Linked DNA regions of Xenopus tropicalis. Each later gene encodes a partner of the first gene's protein in a complex. Links are inferred from orthologs where the notes say so. Each region holds a gene or a part of one and is shown on either strand. Other genes may lie near its edges.

The links.
Region 2: tctn1 (region 1) and tmem216 share a complex: the UniProt entries of both Homo sapiens proteins name them as parts of the tectonic-like complex. The link is inferred for Xenopus tropicalis from reciprocal best matches to the Homo sapiens genes TCTN1 and TMEM216.
Region 3: tctn1 (region 1) and tmem107 share a complex: the UniProt entries of both Homo sapiens proteins name them as parts of the tectonic-like complex. The link is inferred for Xenopus tropicalis from reciprocal best matches to the Homo sapiens genes TCTN1 and TMEM107.

What each region holds. Positions count from the first base shown.
Region 1 is NC_030677.2:162,898,117-162,902,576, reverse strand, and holds part of tctn1 (tectonic-1 precursor), read right to left. Parts: intron 4,410-4,460; coding exon 4,389-4,409; intron 2,756-4,388; coding exon 2,630-2,755; intron 817-2,629; coding exon 691-816; intron 1-690. UniProt on the Homo sapiens protein: Component of the tectonic-like complex, a complex localized at the transition zone of primary cilia and acting as a barrier that prevents diffusion of transmembrane proteins between the cilia and plasma membranes.
Region 2 is NC_030678.2:178,905,367-178,910,364, forward strand, and holds the start of tmem216 (transmembrane protein 216), read left to right. Parts: upstream 1-1,847; 5' UTR 1,848-1,923; coding exon 1,924-1,936; intron 1,937-3,425; coding exon 3,426-3,442; intron 3,443-4,708; coding exon 4,709-4,802; intron 4,803-4,998. UniProt on the Homo sapiens protein: Part of the tectonic-like complex which is required for tissue-specific ciliogenesis and may regulate ciliary membrane composition.
Region 3 is NC_030679.2:144,535,551-144,540,574, reverse strand, and holds the start of tmem107 (transmembrane protein 107), read left to right. Parts: upstream 1-1,873; 5' UTR 1,874-1,980; exon of another isoform or gene 1,981-1,997; intron 1,998-5,024. UniProt on the Homo sapiens protein: Plays a role in cilia formation and embryonic patterning. Requires for normal Sonic hedgehog (Shh) signaling in the neural tube and acts in combination with GLI2 and GLI3 to pattern ventral and intermediate neuronal cell types.

The sequences.
Region 1 (4,460 bases):
TTGGGTGCAAACATTTTTGTAATTTTATCCTATATATATTAAAGGATAAGGAAAGGCTAATAAAGAGTTAATCTCAAGCTGCAGGCATACCTTCAGTTCTCTCAATAGTGCCCTTAAGTCTCCCCATATTTCTCCCATAGCCTCATAGGAAAAAAAAATGCTGAGCTCTGTAAAAAAAAAGTTCCCATAATGCCTCGCTCCTGCACCAAGACCAAGACCGGTGTACATGCTCAGTTTGTAAGACTATGAGGAAGCTTCCTGCTGATTGGCTAAGATCACACATTCCTAAGGATGGGGGGGGGGGAGTTTTTAGCATTCTTGAGGGAGGGGGAGCAGGAGAGGGGAGAGGGCTGCGTGTCTCTGGCACAGGAAAACAAAAGAGAAAAGAAATCCTGTTTCTTTTGACAGATAAGATAACTTTCTGTGAGTGCTTATGGCTGTATTTACATAGACCTTTCTGATAAAGCTTACTTAGTTTTTACCTTTCCTTCTCCATTGATAATTCTAAATAGAAATATAAAATATGCAAAATAAAATCTTTAAAAAAAAAAAAAATATATATATATATATATATAAGAGCTTTCAATCTTAAAAGTATTATTCAAAGCACAGGACTGATCCGATTTTATATGCACACACTTATACATTCTATATAGTCACTGCAAAAAAAAACAAGAGAATAAAACACACCTGAACAAAAGAAACTTTAAAACTTTGCTGAACTGTTCCCAGAGTAGCGTTAATTACTCCCAATATGAGGAAAGCATTTACAGCTGTAATTGCTCCTTGTTCTGTGTATAGGATCTGGTAACTCCCCTGAAAGGCAAGCATTAGAATTCAGTTTTATTTGCTCTACTTTCATGTTTATAGTGTATAAAGAATCAGTGACGTCCTGATACACTGTCATAAACCGGAGTAACAAATGCTAAGTGAGCAGCCCCTCTTGTACTGGTTATAGGCTGTATTTTTTGCATGTAAATCTGTATGTTCAATGTATACACCCATTTATTATACAGTACTGCAGAAGGTGTTGGCTCTTTATAAATTTGTGTCAACAATAATCATATAAAGGCTTCTGTATCAGACGTGCTGTCATGAAAAATGCTAATACTTTTAAGGGAAATTATACCGACCAGGTATGAACTGTACAATAAAGATTGTGCTCATAGAGTAAAGAAAGCAGGCTTTTATGTCTTAAAGGAACAGTAACACCAAAAAATGAAAGAGCTTTAAAGTAATAAAAATATAATGCACTGTTGCCCTGCACTGGTAAAACTGGTGTGTTTGCTACAGTAACACTACTATAATTTATATAATAAGCTGCTGTGTAGCCCCGGGGGCAGCCATTCAAGCTGGAAAAAAGGAGAAAAGGCACAGGTTACATAGCAGATAACAGATAAGTTCTGTAGAATACAATAGTGTTTTATCTGCTATGTGCCTGTGCCTTTTATTCTTTGAATGGCTGCCTCCATGGCTACATAGCAGCTTATTTATATAAATTATAGTAGACTTTCTGAAGAAAACACACAACTTTTACCAGCGCAGGGCAGCAGCACGTTATATTTTAGTTACTTTTATACTCTTTCATTTTTTGGTGTTACTGTTTTTTACCTTTACCGTTACCTTTAAAGATTGGCGAATCTGTCCAAAACTTGGAAAAGATTAATGAAACGGCAAAAAATTTGCGAAACTCTGAAATGACGTGCAACAATTTTTTTTTTGACGCGTAGCATTTTCAGCCTTTTGCTAATTCTTCGCCGTTACACTAATCTTTTCCAAAAACAATTTTTCCACAACAATTGTTTGTTGAGCGCACCAAATTTTTTCTTGCCGCATTTTTTCACCCGTCTTGCAAAAAATGCGCCAATGGTGAAACACAGAAATTCACCACAAATCCATGCCTGCCAATTATGTCTACAAGTTAAAAATGTAAGTAACATTTTTTTTGTGACCACTAGAGACCATATAAATGTATGCATTGGGAGAAGGCGCAATATATAAGTTCCCACTCATATTAATAAGCATACATATGTAAAAACAACCAAGATTTTTATGTTTGACTTTCTGCAGATAAATAACTACCAACCTTACAGTTTATAAATACAGCTCCCAGAACAAATTCCAAAAATACATTTAAAAGGAGTCGGCAGTTTACAGCCTAATGCATATTTAGACATCCCAACAGAATGCCCAATGTCATATTATACTTAAATTAAGGTAAATCTGTCATAATTTCTAATTATCCTTTCTCCTTGTGGGAACTAGACTGAAAGCCATTTAGGGTGAGTTTTGGGGAGAAGGCCTCTTTGCTTTAGCAGATACTTCTGGAAGACCAGCTTCACAGTGACAGAGCAATATCTGCTGGGAAACATGTAGAATTCATCATTTTTTGCTCCGAATTGATTATCCAGCATAAAGTTCAGAGTGCAGACAGACCCGGGCAGAAGTGCTGTCTGCATGAGTAGTAAGGGTTGCACTCTTAGTGCTCTTGCACTTCTGCCCGGAACCTTAGTAAATTACCCCCTCTGTCATTTACTGATACTGTGGTATATGACATATCCTGTAAGTAAGTAGGGCTATGCTGGAGATAAAGAATTAAAACTACTTTGTAATAAAAATATTTACTTACCCCCAAAACCACATCTTTACAAAGCTCTGTTGTATTGTCCAAAACAGGAACATAATGATCTATGACACTTGGGATAAAGATCCCATCGAGAGACTTCTTCATTATAGACTGTACTGTTATATTAATCTGCAAATGGTAATTGTGTAAATGTTATATTCTCTCCAAGAAGCAAGCATCATTAAAGGAAAAGTAAAGGTACTAATCACTGGGGGGTGCCATATGTCCCAGTGATTGTAATCTCGTACCTTATACCCCAGACTGGTGCTCCTGTTAGGAGAAAACTGTTTTGTCGATCCTTTTCCTTCTTTATTCTCTCTTTGGAATCCCAGGGCCAGCGCATGTGAAGTAGAGTGAAAAGGCCGGCTTTTTTGTTAAAGTTTATCTTTTCACTCTACTGCACATGCACAAGTAGTGTGAAGAAGGAAGAAGAAGGTATACTCTGGCTGCAATATTGAAGTTTTCTCCCTCTCCAGTTCCAAAAACATGCTTATTCACTGATAAAACAGAATGTTGTGTGTGTGTGACTGTGATAGGGACCTTAGACTGTAAGCTTTAATGGCGCAGTGACTGATGTATGCCTGATGTAAAGTGTTGCAGAAAATATCAGCACTACATAAATCAAGCACAGCAATCACTGCTTCATTAAGGATCAAAGGCTAGCTCATATGCTACAGAAGCACACAGCACCAAAAAGATCTGCACTTATACTGCACAGGAACATAATCAAATCTTTTGTACACAGCAGGATTAGCTGGCTGTTGAGAAATGAAGCCACCTGTGTGACCCAAAAAACCCAGCTTATTGTTGTTATTCTGCTGTCTCCCCCATTCTAGTGTGAACAAACATAAAAACAATGTTTTTTTTGGATTTGTCAGTAGTTGCCATATTGTGGAGATAGCACCTCTAGGCAACCTAGAGCAGTGGCTGGGCGCCCAGCTTGAAGGCCAGTTAGGGTGAGCAGCGCTGTTTAGCAATCAGGCAAGGTGAGAAATGGCACCCCTGTTATGAGAATGAACTTCCATTTTTTAGAAATTCAACTCCTTTAGTTCATCTTTATAAAGAGAATGCAACTGCACTCTGTACTAACAATGCAGCTCCCCCTCAACCCACTAAAGGTGGGTTTAAATCATGAGGGCGCGATTGGTCTGCTCCTGTGGAGTGCCTATTTGCTCTTCTCTCTGCTCTAAGGTATGGCATGTCTGATATCCAAGATCAATGTATTAAACAACTAATGTGAGAGCAAAGCATGCAGACTAGACTCAATTCAGCATATTATGTCAAAAAAATATGCACTCTGCTATATGTATCCCTTGATTCCAAACAACACAGCAGCAGTAGAAATCACCAGTTAGTGTACAATACCGCATTATGTATATGCAAGGTACGGCATGAAAGGTAAAAACATCCAGGAAAGAAATTTATGTAAATTAAAATGATGTATTTTAGGATCTGGGTGAACCACGCTGTTCCCAGGATCTGAAAACCGCACACTTCACTCATGGTGAAAAATGTTCAACTTCTGTGTTTATGTGGCAAAAATTCACATGATTTTAACGATTTGGTTTGGCTGAATCCAGCTGAAAAAGGCAGAATCTTGGCCGAATCCTGGATTCGGTGCATCCCTAGTGTATAAAAGCCTGGGTAACCTTCTCCTCTGTATGGAGACACAACTTTTAACAACTAACATGGGTTATTAGAAGCTATACATGTCCCTTTCATTTATACTAAATAATTAAATTTAAAACAATAATTGTCTCACCTGGTTTCCAGAATTTGGTGTCTGCACAAAAAAAACAAAACAAAATATTTAAATGTAGTATTTTTAAACCTT
Region 2 (4,998 bases), on another chromosome or scaffold:
GGATCAGGGTGGGGATCAGGGTGGGATCAGGGTGGGGATCAGAGTGGGGATCAGGGTGGGATCAGGGTGGGGATCAGGGTGGGGATCAGGGTGGGGATCAAGGTGGGAAAAGGGTGGGATCAGGGTGGGGATCAGGGTGGGATCAGGGTGGGAAAAGGGTGGGGATCAGGGTGGGGATCAGGGTGGGGATCAGGGTGGGATCAGGGTGGGGATCAAGGTGGGAAAAGGGTGGGATCAGGGTGGGGATCAGGGTGGGGATCAGGGTGGGGATCAAGGTGGGATCAGGGTGGGGATCAGGGTGGGGATCAGGGTGGGATCAGGGTGGGGATCAGGGTGGGATCAGGGTGGGGATCAGGGTGGGGATCAGGGTGGGGATCAGGGTGGGATCAGGGTGGGGATCAAGGTGGGGATCAAGGTGGGAAAAGGGTGGGATCAAGGTGGGGATCAGGGTGGGGATTAAGAAGGAAACAGGGTGGGAAAAGGGTGGGGATCAGGGTGGGAAAAGGGTGGGATCAGGGTGGGGATCAAGGTGGGGATCAAGAAGGAAACAGGGTGGGAAAAGGGTGGGGATCAGGGTGGGGATCAGGGTGGGGATCAAGAAGGAAACAGGGTGGGAAAAGGGTGGGGATCAGGGTGGGAAAAGGGTGGGATCAGGGTGGGGATCAAGGTGGGGATCAAGAAGGAAACAGGGTGGGAAAAGGGTGGGGATCAGGGTGGGAAAAGGGTGGGGATCAGGGTGGGAAAAGGGTGGGGATCAGGGTGGAAAAAGGGTGGGATCAGGGTGGGATCAAGGTGGGGATCAAGGTGGGGATCAAGAAGGAAACAGGGTGGGAAAAGGGTGGGGATCAGGGTGGGAAAATGGTGGGATCAGGGTGGAAAAAGGGTGGGATCAGGGTGGGATCAAGGTGGGGATCAGGGTGGGAAAAGGGTGGGATCAGGGTGAGGATCAAGGTGGGGATCAAGAAGGAAACAGGGTGGGAAAAGGGTGGGGATCAGGGTGGGAAAATGGTGGGATCAGGGTGGGAAAAGGGTGGGGATCAGGGTGGGGATCAAGGTGGGGATCAAGAAGGAAACAGGGTGGGAAAAGGGTGGGGATCACGGTGGGGATCAGTGACCTGTAACTCCGCCCATGTGTTACTAAAAGTAAATATAAAGGGGAAGTTGACCCTTTATTGGGCTATGGGTTCTATAATGAAGTAACTGTGAGTAACATAATTAGGTGAGTAGCAGTGAGACGAGGAAACCGTGGGTGGGAACATCCGGCTCTTGAAGCGAGGGTCTCGCATCTCAGCCCCAATTAATAACGACTGCGCATCACTACTGAGAGACAGCAGCATCGGCCCCCAACTCTCCCACCCTCGCTCCTCTACTGCCCCCCGTGCAGTCATTAGTGCTCATACTGCCTCTTGTGTTTGGAATAACCTCTTCAGTGTTATAAAGGGTTGTCTCCATCTTGCCCTACTGTCTCCATCTTGCCCTACTGTCTCCATCTTGCCCTACTGTCTCCATCTTGCCCTACTGTCCCCATCTTGCCCTACTGTCTCCATCTTGCCCTACTGTCCCCATCTTGCCCTACTGTCCCCATCTTGCCCTACTGTCCCCATCTTGCCCTACTGTCTCCATCTTGCCCTACTGTCCCCATCTTGCCCTACTGTCCCCATCTTGCCCTACTGTCCCCATCTTGCCCTACTGTCTCCATCTTGCCCTACTGTCTCCCTGGGCAGAGGAGCTAGCAATCTAATTTGGCTGCAGGTACACTCTCCATTGAACAGTTCCCAGAAGCCCAGCCAGTCCCAGTTATTTAGTGGCCCTGAATGTTAGGGGGGAAGGCGCTAGGACCCCGCGGCGCACAGGCGGCTCAGGGGGTCACGTGTTGCGGAGGTTTCCAGGGAGTGACGTCACAGGCGTCCTTAGAGCAGCAAGATGGCGCCCAAAGGTAAGCGGGAGGCGAAGCAGCGGATGGAAGAGCGGCCCCCCTGCTCCCTGTAATGGCGCCTGTAAGCGTGGGGCTACTGTGTCCCCTATGCAAGAGGTGCAGCTGATCAGCGGGACTACAACTCCCAGCATCCCCTGCACCCGATGCCGCTACGCTGTCCCCTTACCTGCTGCATAGGGACCCGCACCGCTAGTGTGCAACTACAACTGGGGGGGGGGGGGGGGGGCTGTTAGACCACAATTCCCGGCATCCCCAGAGAAGCAGCGACTTCTCCCTGTTACCCACAATAGCGCACATTCCCCGGGCAGGTGGGTATATTATGGGCAGGTGGGTATATTATGGGCAGGTAAGTGGGTATATTATGGGCAGGTGGGTATATTATGGGCAGGTGGGTATATTACGGGCAGGCGGGTGGGTATATTACGGGCAGGTATGTGGGTATATTACGGGCAGGCGGGTGGGTATATTACGGGCAGGCGGGTGGGTATATTACGGGCAGGCGGGTGGGAATATTACGGGCAGGCGGGTGGGTATATTACGGGCAGGTATGTGGGTATATTACGGCAGGCGGGTGGGTATATTACGGGCAGGCGGGTGGGTATATTACGGGCAGGCGGGTTGGTATATTACGGGCAGGTATGTGGGTATATTACGGGCAGGCGGGTGGGTATATTACGGGCAGGCGGGTGGGTATATTACGGGCAGGTATGTGGGTATATTACGGGCAGGCAGGTGGGTATATTACGGGCAGGCGGGTGGGTATATTACGGGCAGGCGGGTGGGTATATTACGGGCAGGTATGTGGGTATATTACGGGCAGGCGGGTTGGGGTATATTACGGGCAGGCGGGTGGGTATATTACGGGCAGGCGGGTGGGTAATATTACGGGCAGGGGGTGGGAATATTACGGGCAGCGGTGGGTATATTACGGGCAGGCGGGTGGGTATATTGAGGGCAGGCGGGTGGGTATATTACGGGCAGGCGGGTGGGTATATTACGGGCAGGCGGGTGGGTATATTACGGGCAGGTATGTGGGTATATTATGGGCAGGCGGGTGGGTATATTACGGGCAGGCGGGTGGGAATATTACGGGCAGGCGGGTGGGTATATTATGGGCAGGCGGGTGGGTATATTACGGGCAGGCGGGTGGGAATATTACGGGCAGGCGGGTGGGTATATTATGGGCAGGCAGGTGGGTATATTACGGGCAGGTGGGTATATTACGGGCAGGCAGGTGGGTATATTACGGGCAGGCGGGTGGGAATATTACGGGCAGGCGGGTGGGTATATTACGGGCAGGCGGGTGGATATATTACGGGCAGGCGGGTGGGTATATTACGGGCAGGTATGTGGGTATATTATGGGCACCTACAGGGGGAGACCAAACATGGCTGCTCTGAGTGCTGGGAGGGGCCCCCGGCCCCCACTGGGTCTTCTGCTTGGTATCATGTGACTTGTGCTGCCCCCTAACTGTGCGTTTGCTTCCCAGGGAGAAGGCGCGGAGTTGTATCCTTGGCACTTACATAGGTGAGACGGTACCAAGTCACCTGTACAGGTATAGCCTGGCCCCGCCCACTGCTTCTTATATTCCTTTAACAATTCATGGGGGTACATTACCCCTTATAATACATGAGTGATACTCAGAGTTCCCTGTATAACTCAGCCTGCAGCCTTGTGCCTTTATATGGGGGGCACAGAACCCCTCAGTGACTGCTAATATCCTTATCATTTACAGTAGGGGGTACATTATCCCTTATAATACATGAGTGATACTCAGAGTTCCCTGTATAACTCAGCCTGCAGCCTTGTGCCTTTATATGGGGGGCACAGAACCCCTCAGTGACTGCTAATATCCTTATCATTTACAGTAGGGGGTACATTATCCCTTATAATACATGAGTGATACTCAGAGTTCCCTGTATAACTCAGCCTGCAGCCTTGTGCCTTTATATGGGCACAGAACCCCTCAGTGACTGCTAATATCCTTATCATTTACAGTAGGGGGTACATTATCCCTTATAATACATGAGTGATACTCAGAGTTCCCTGTATAACTCAGCCTGCAGCCTTGTGCCTTTATATGGGGGGCACAGAACCCCTCAGTGACTGCTAATATCCTTATCATTTACAGTAGGGGGTACATTATCCCTTATAATACATGAGTGATACTCAGAGTTCCCTGTATAACTCAGCCTGCAGCCTTGTGCCTTTATATGGGGGGCACAGAACCCCTCAGTGACTGCTAATATCCTTATCATTTACAGTAGGGGGTACATTATCCCTTATAATACATGAGTGATACTCAGAGTTCCCTGTATAACTCAGCCTGCAGCCTTGTGCCTTTATATGGGGGGCACAGAACCCCTCAGTGACTGCTAATATCCTTATCATTTACAGTAGGGGGTACAGTATCCCTATAATACATGAGTGATACTCAGAGTTCCCTGTATAACTCAGCCTGCAGCCTTGTGCCTTTATATGGGGGGCACAGAACCCCTCAGTGACTGCTAATATCCTTATCATTTACAGTAGGGGGTACAGTATCCCTTATAATACATGAGTGATACTCAGAGTTCCCTGTATAACTCAGCCTGCAGCCTTGTGCCTTTATATGGGGGGCACAGAACCCCTCAGTGACTGCTAATATCCTTATCATTTACAGTAGGGGGTACAGTATCCCTATAATACATGAGTGATACTCAGAGTGGGATTACATTACTCGGTACATTGTAGCATGAGTCGCATTATACAGTTTTTCCTGAACACAAGCAGCTCTCTTCCACGCCGCTGGAGGTTCTCTTCTTCCTCAATGGCTGGTACTGTGCTTCCTACTTCATCATCGAGACTCTCATTTTTATCTATAAAGGTGAGTTCCTATTGGCTGTGCATGTACCCCAGGGAGGCAGGAACCGCGGGGGGCAACATTGGGGGGACCAAGCTCAGTGTTATTGGCACAAATGGTCCTGCCCAGGGGTGTATGGCTTCTGTCGCACTGAGGGGAGGGGCAGGGAGTCTGTGACTCAAGTAGTGGGTGGGGCTAGAAGGGATTAGCGCAGGGAATG
Region 3 (5,024 bases), on another chromosome or scaffold:
TTCCTCCTTATAACTCTGTCCCCTGACTGCTTCATAGGAGAATCTTCTTCCATCAAAACCTCCTCAAGAAGAAGATCTTCATCTGCCATCTGATCTCCATCTGCTTCTCCCCACCATCTCCTTGATCCAACTGCTTCTTCCCTGAGAGACCTTCATCTCCTTCTTCCCACCATCTCCTTGATCCAACTGCTTCTTCCCTGAGAGACCTTCATCTCCTTCTTCCCACCATCTCCTTGATCCAACTGCTTCTTCCCTGAGAGACCTTCATCTCCTTCTTCCCACCATCTCCTTGATCCAACTGCTTCTTCCCTGAGAGACCTTCATCTCCTTCTTCCCACCATCTCCTTGATCCAACTGCTTCTTCCCCGAGAGACCTTGATCTCCTTCTTCCCACCATCTCCTTGATCCAACTGCTTCTTCCCTGAGAGACCTTCATCTCCTTCTTCCTACCATCTCCTTGATCCAACTGCTTCTTCCCTGAGAGACCTTCATCTGCTTCTCCCCACCATCTCCTTGATCCAACTGCTTCTTCCCTGAGAGACCTTCATCTGCTTCTTCCCACCATCTCCTTGATCCAACTGCTTCTTCCCAGAGAGACCTTCATCTGCTTCTCCCACGATCTCCTTGATCCAACGCTTCTTCCCTGAGAGACCTTCATCTGCTTCTCCCCAGTATCTCTTTCTATCGATCTATCAGTTTACCTTACTACACCTTCTCTCTCCCTCCTGCTGTTCTGATCAATCAGTAATCGGAACAATAGAAAGGCATTCGTAAGCCAGCCATACACGCACAGATGTTATCATCTCGTACAATATTCGGTGCGTGTATGGTGACTTGTAGAGGCGACCAATATCCCAGAGGCTGTGGATATCGGTTGAAGGCGCCATTGAAGGCGCCCGAGCAAAATCTACGTTCAGGGCTGAAGGAGGTAGAATTTCTATTGTTTCTACCTCCTTATCTGATGATTCAGCCCTGAACTTCAGCTACGTGTATGGCCACCTTTACTTGTATGCTCTCCATCCATTTGGCTTAGGGGCCACTCTTTGGAGAGCGTTCCAGATGGGCCAATGCCTGATTAGAAGATCTAGGCAGTTTGTTATACAGCCCTACACATTTTGGGGAGTGAAAGATAGCTATATCTGTGGGCCCCAGGGTCGGACTGGGGGGGGTGCAGGGCACACCAGGGCTCCCGCCCTAACCCCCCCAACCCCCCACAGGGTCCCCCACCCGACGTCCTCCCCTGAGCTCCCGTAAATTTAACGCCTCAGGGGAGGAACGGTCGGGCAGGGGGAGCGCCGGGATTTGTCCCGGTGTCCCAGCGGCCCAGTCCGACCCTGGTGGGCCCAGATAGTCAAGGGGTATGCACAGGGAGGTGCTGCTTCCCCCGCCCCCTGGAGGGTGGGAAAGAAACAATGTTTCAGGAGCCTAAACCACCTGTATAGAGGATATATAAATCCCTTGTGTAACTTCCCATGCAGTTAATTCCCTCACTGTGGGAAGTAAAGTCATAATGACGTCATTATACCCAGTAATATTCCCAGGGTGCATCAGGCCTGTAGTAAGAAGGTAGCGTGGCCGAGCGGTCTAAGGCGCTGGATTTAGGCTCCAGTCTCTCTGGAGGCGTGGGTTCGAATCCCACCGCTGCCAACTCAGCTTTTTATTTTCCCCCCTGCATCTATGGCTTGATATATTTTCGCTCGAACTGTAACTTCTTTTCGATTAGCCGCCATTGTGGAGGCTTTGCATCTATATATATGTTAGTTTGGGACAGGTTTCATAATCAGGGATGTGTCGTCGCTTTTACGACAAAGCGCTAAAACTTCCAGCTACAATAATGGCGGACTTGCCTTCTGCCCCATGTGACCGGGGCTCAGTAGGTGAATGGTCAGAATCTCCTGAATCCTGCGCGTTTTGGTTAGGACGCTGAGGGGTTGCTAGGCAACGGTAAGCGGCGGGTTTTCGGCTCGGAGATTGGAACGGGTAAGGGTTTTGTTCCAGTAAGTTACTGGTTTAACTGGTCTCTGCCCGGGGAATACTTTGTATGTGAGATATTTAATGGTTAATTTATACAGTATAAGTAGCTATAAAAGTCTGTATATATTATATGAGAGGGTTGCCGGCCTGTATATACAGTAATAGGAGTCAGGGAAGCCTGTATATATTATATGAGAGGGTTGCCGGCCTGTATATACAGTAATAGGAGTCAGGGAAGCCTGTATATATTATATGAGAGGGTTGCCGGCATGTATATACAGTAATAGGAGTCAGGGAAGCCTGTATATATTATATGAGAGGGTTGCCGGCATGTATATACAGTAATAGGAGTCAGGGAAGCCTGTATATATTATATGAGAGGGTTGCCGGCCTGTATATACAGTAATAGGGGTCAGGGAAGCCTGTATATATTATATGAGAGGGTTGCCGGCATGTATATACAGTAATAGGAGTCAGGGAAGCCTGTATATATTATATGAGAGGGTTACCGGCCTGTATATACAGTAATAGGAGTCAGGGAAGCCTGTATATATTATATGAGAGGGTTGCCGGCCTGTATATACAGTAATAGGAGTCAGGGAAGCCTGTATATATTATATGAGAGGGTTACCCGCCTGTATATACAGTAATAGGAGTCAGGGAAGCCTGTATATATTATATGAGAGGGTTGCCGGCCTGTATATACTGTAATAGGAGTCAGGGAAGCCTGGATATATTATATGAGAGGGTTGCCGGCCTGTATATACAGTAATAGGAGTCAGGGAAGCCTGGATATATTATATGAGAGGGTTACCGGCCTGTATATACAGTAATAGGAGTCAGGGAAGCCTGGATATATTATATGAGAGGGTTACCGGCCTGTATATACAGTAATAGGAGTCAGGGAAGCCTGTATATATTATATGAGAGGGTTACCGGCCTGTATATACAGTAATAGGAGTCAGGGAAGCCTGTATATATTATATGAGAGGGTTACCGGCCTGTATATACAGTAATAGGAGTCAGGGAAGCCTGTATATATTATATGAGAGGGTTGCCGGCCTGTATATACAGTAATAGGAGTCAGGGAAGCCTGTATATATTATATGAGAGGGTTACCGGCCTGTATATACAGTAATAGGAGTCAGGGAAGCCTGTATATATTATATGAGAGGGTTGCCGGCCTGTATATACAGTAATAGGAGTCAGGGAAGCCTGGATATATTATATGAGAGGGTTACCGGCCTGTATATACAGTAATAGGAGTCAGGGAAGCCTGTATATATTATATGAGAGGGTCCCTGGCCTGTATATACAGTAATAGGAGTCAGGGAAGCCTGTATATATTATATGAGAGGGTTGCCGGCCTGTATATACAGTAATAGGGGTCAGGGAAGCCTGTATATATTATATGAGAGGGTTGCCGGCATGTATATACAGTAATAGGAGTCAGGGAAGCCTGTATATATTATATGAGAGGGTTACCGGCCTGTATATACAGTAATAGGAGTCAGGGAAGCCTGTATATATTATATGAGAGGGTCCCTGGCCTGTATATACAGTAATAGGAGTCAGGGAAGCCTGTATATATTATATGAGAGGGTTGCCGGCCTGTATATACAGTAATAGGGGTCAGGGAAGCCTGTATATATTATATGAGAGGGTTGCCGGCATGTATATACAGTAATAGGAGTCAGGGAAGCCTGTATATATTATATGAGAGGGTTACCGGCCTGTATATACAGTAATAGGAGTCAGGGAAGCCTGGATATATTATATGAGAGGGTTGCCGGCCTGTATATACAGTAATAGGAGTCAGGGAAGCCTGTATATATTATATGAGAGGGTTACCCGCCTGTATATACAGTAATAGGAGTCAGGGAAGCCTGTATATATTATATGAGAGGGTTGCCGGCCTGTATATACTGTAATAGGAGTCAGGGAAGCCTGGATATATTATATGAGAGGGTTGCCGGCCTGTATATACAGTAATAGGAGTCAGGGAAGCCTGGATATATTATATGAGAGGGTTACCGGCCTGTATATACAGTAATAGGAGTCAGGGAAGCCTGTATATATTATATGAGAGGGTTACCGGCCTGTATATACAGTAATAGGAGTCAGGGAAGCCTGTATATATTATATGAGAAGGTTGCCGGCCTGTATATACAGTAATAGGAGTCAGGGAAGCCTGTATATATTATATGAGAGGGTTACCGGCCTGTATATACAGTAATAGGAGTCAGGGAAGCCTGTATATATTATAAGAGAGGGTTGCCGGCCTGTATATACAGTAATAGGAGTCAGGGAAGCCTGGATATATTATATGAGAGGGTTACCGGCCTGTATATACAGTAATAGGAGTCAGGGAAGCCTGTATATATTATATGAGAGGGTCCCTGGCCTGTATATACAGTAATAGGAGTCAGGGAAGCCTGTATATATTATATGAGAGGGTTGCCGGCCTGTATATACAGTAATAGGGGTCAGGGAAGCCTGTATATATTATATGAGAGGGTCCCTGGCCTGTATTTACAGTAATAGGAGTCAGGGAAGCCTGTATATATTATATGAGAGGGTTACCGGCCTGTATATACAGTAATAGGAGTCAGGGAAGCCTGGATATATTATATGAGAGGGTCCCTGGCCTGTATATACAGTAATAGGAGTCAGGGAAGCCTGTATATATTATATGAGAGGGTTACCGGCCTGTATATACAGTAATAGGAGTCAGGGAAGCCTGTATATATTATATGAGAGGGTCCCTGGCCTGTATATACAGTAATAGGAGTCAGGGAAGCCTGTATATATTATATGAGAGGGTCCCTGGCCTGTATATACAGTAATAGGAGTCAGGGAAGCCTGGATATATTATATGAGAGGGTTACCGGCCTGTATATACAGTAATAGGAGTCAGGGAAGCCTGGATATATTATATGAGAGGGTCCCTGGCCTGTATATACAGTAATAGGAGTCAGGGAAGCCTGTATATATTATATGAGAGGGTCCCTGGCCTGTATATACAGTAATAGGAGTCAGGGAAGCCTGTA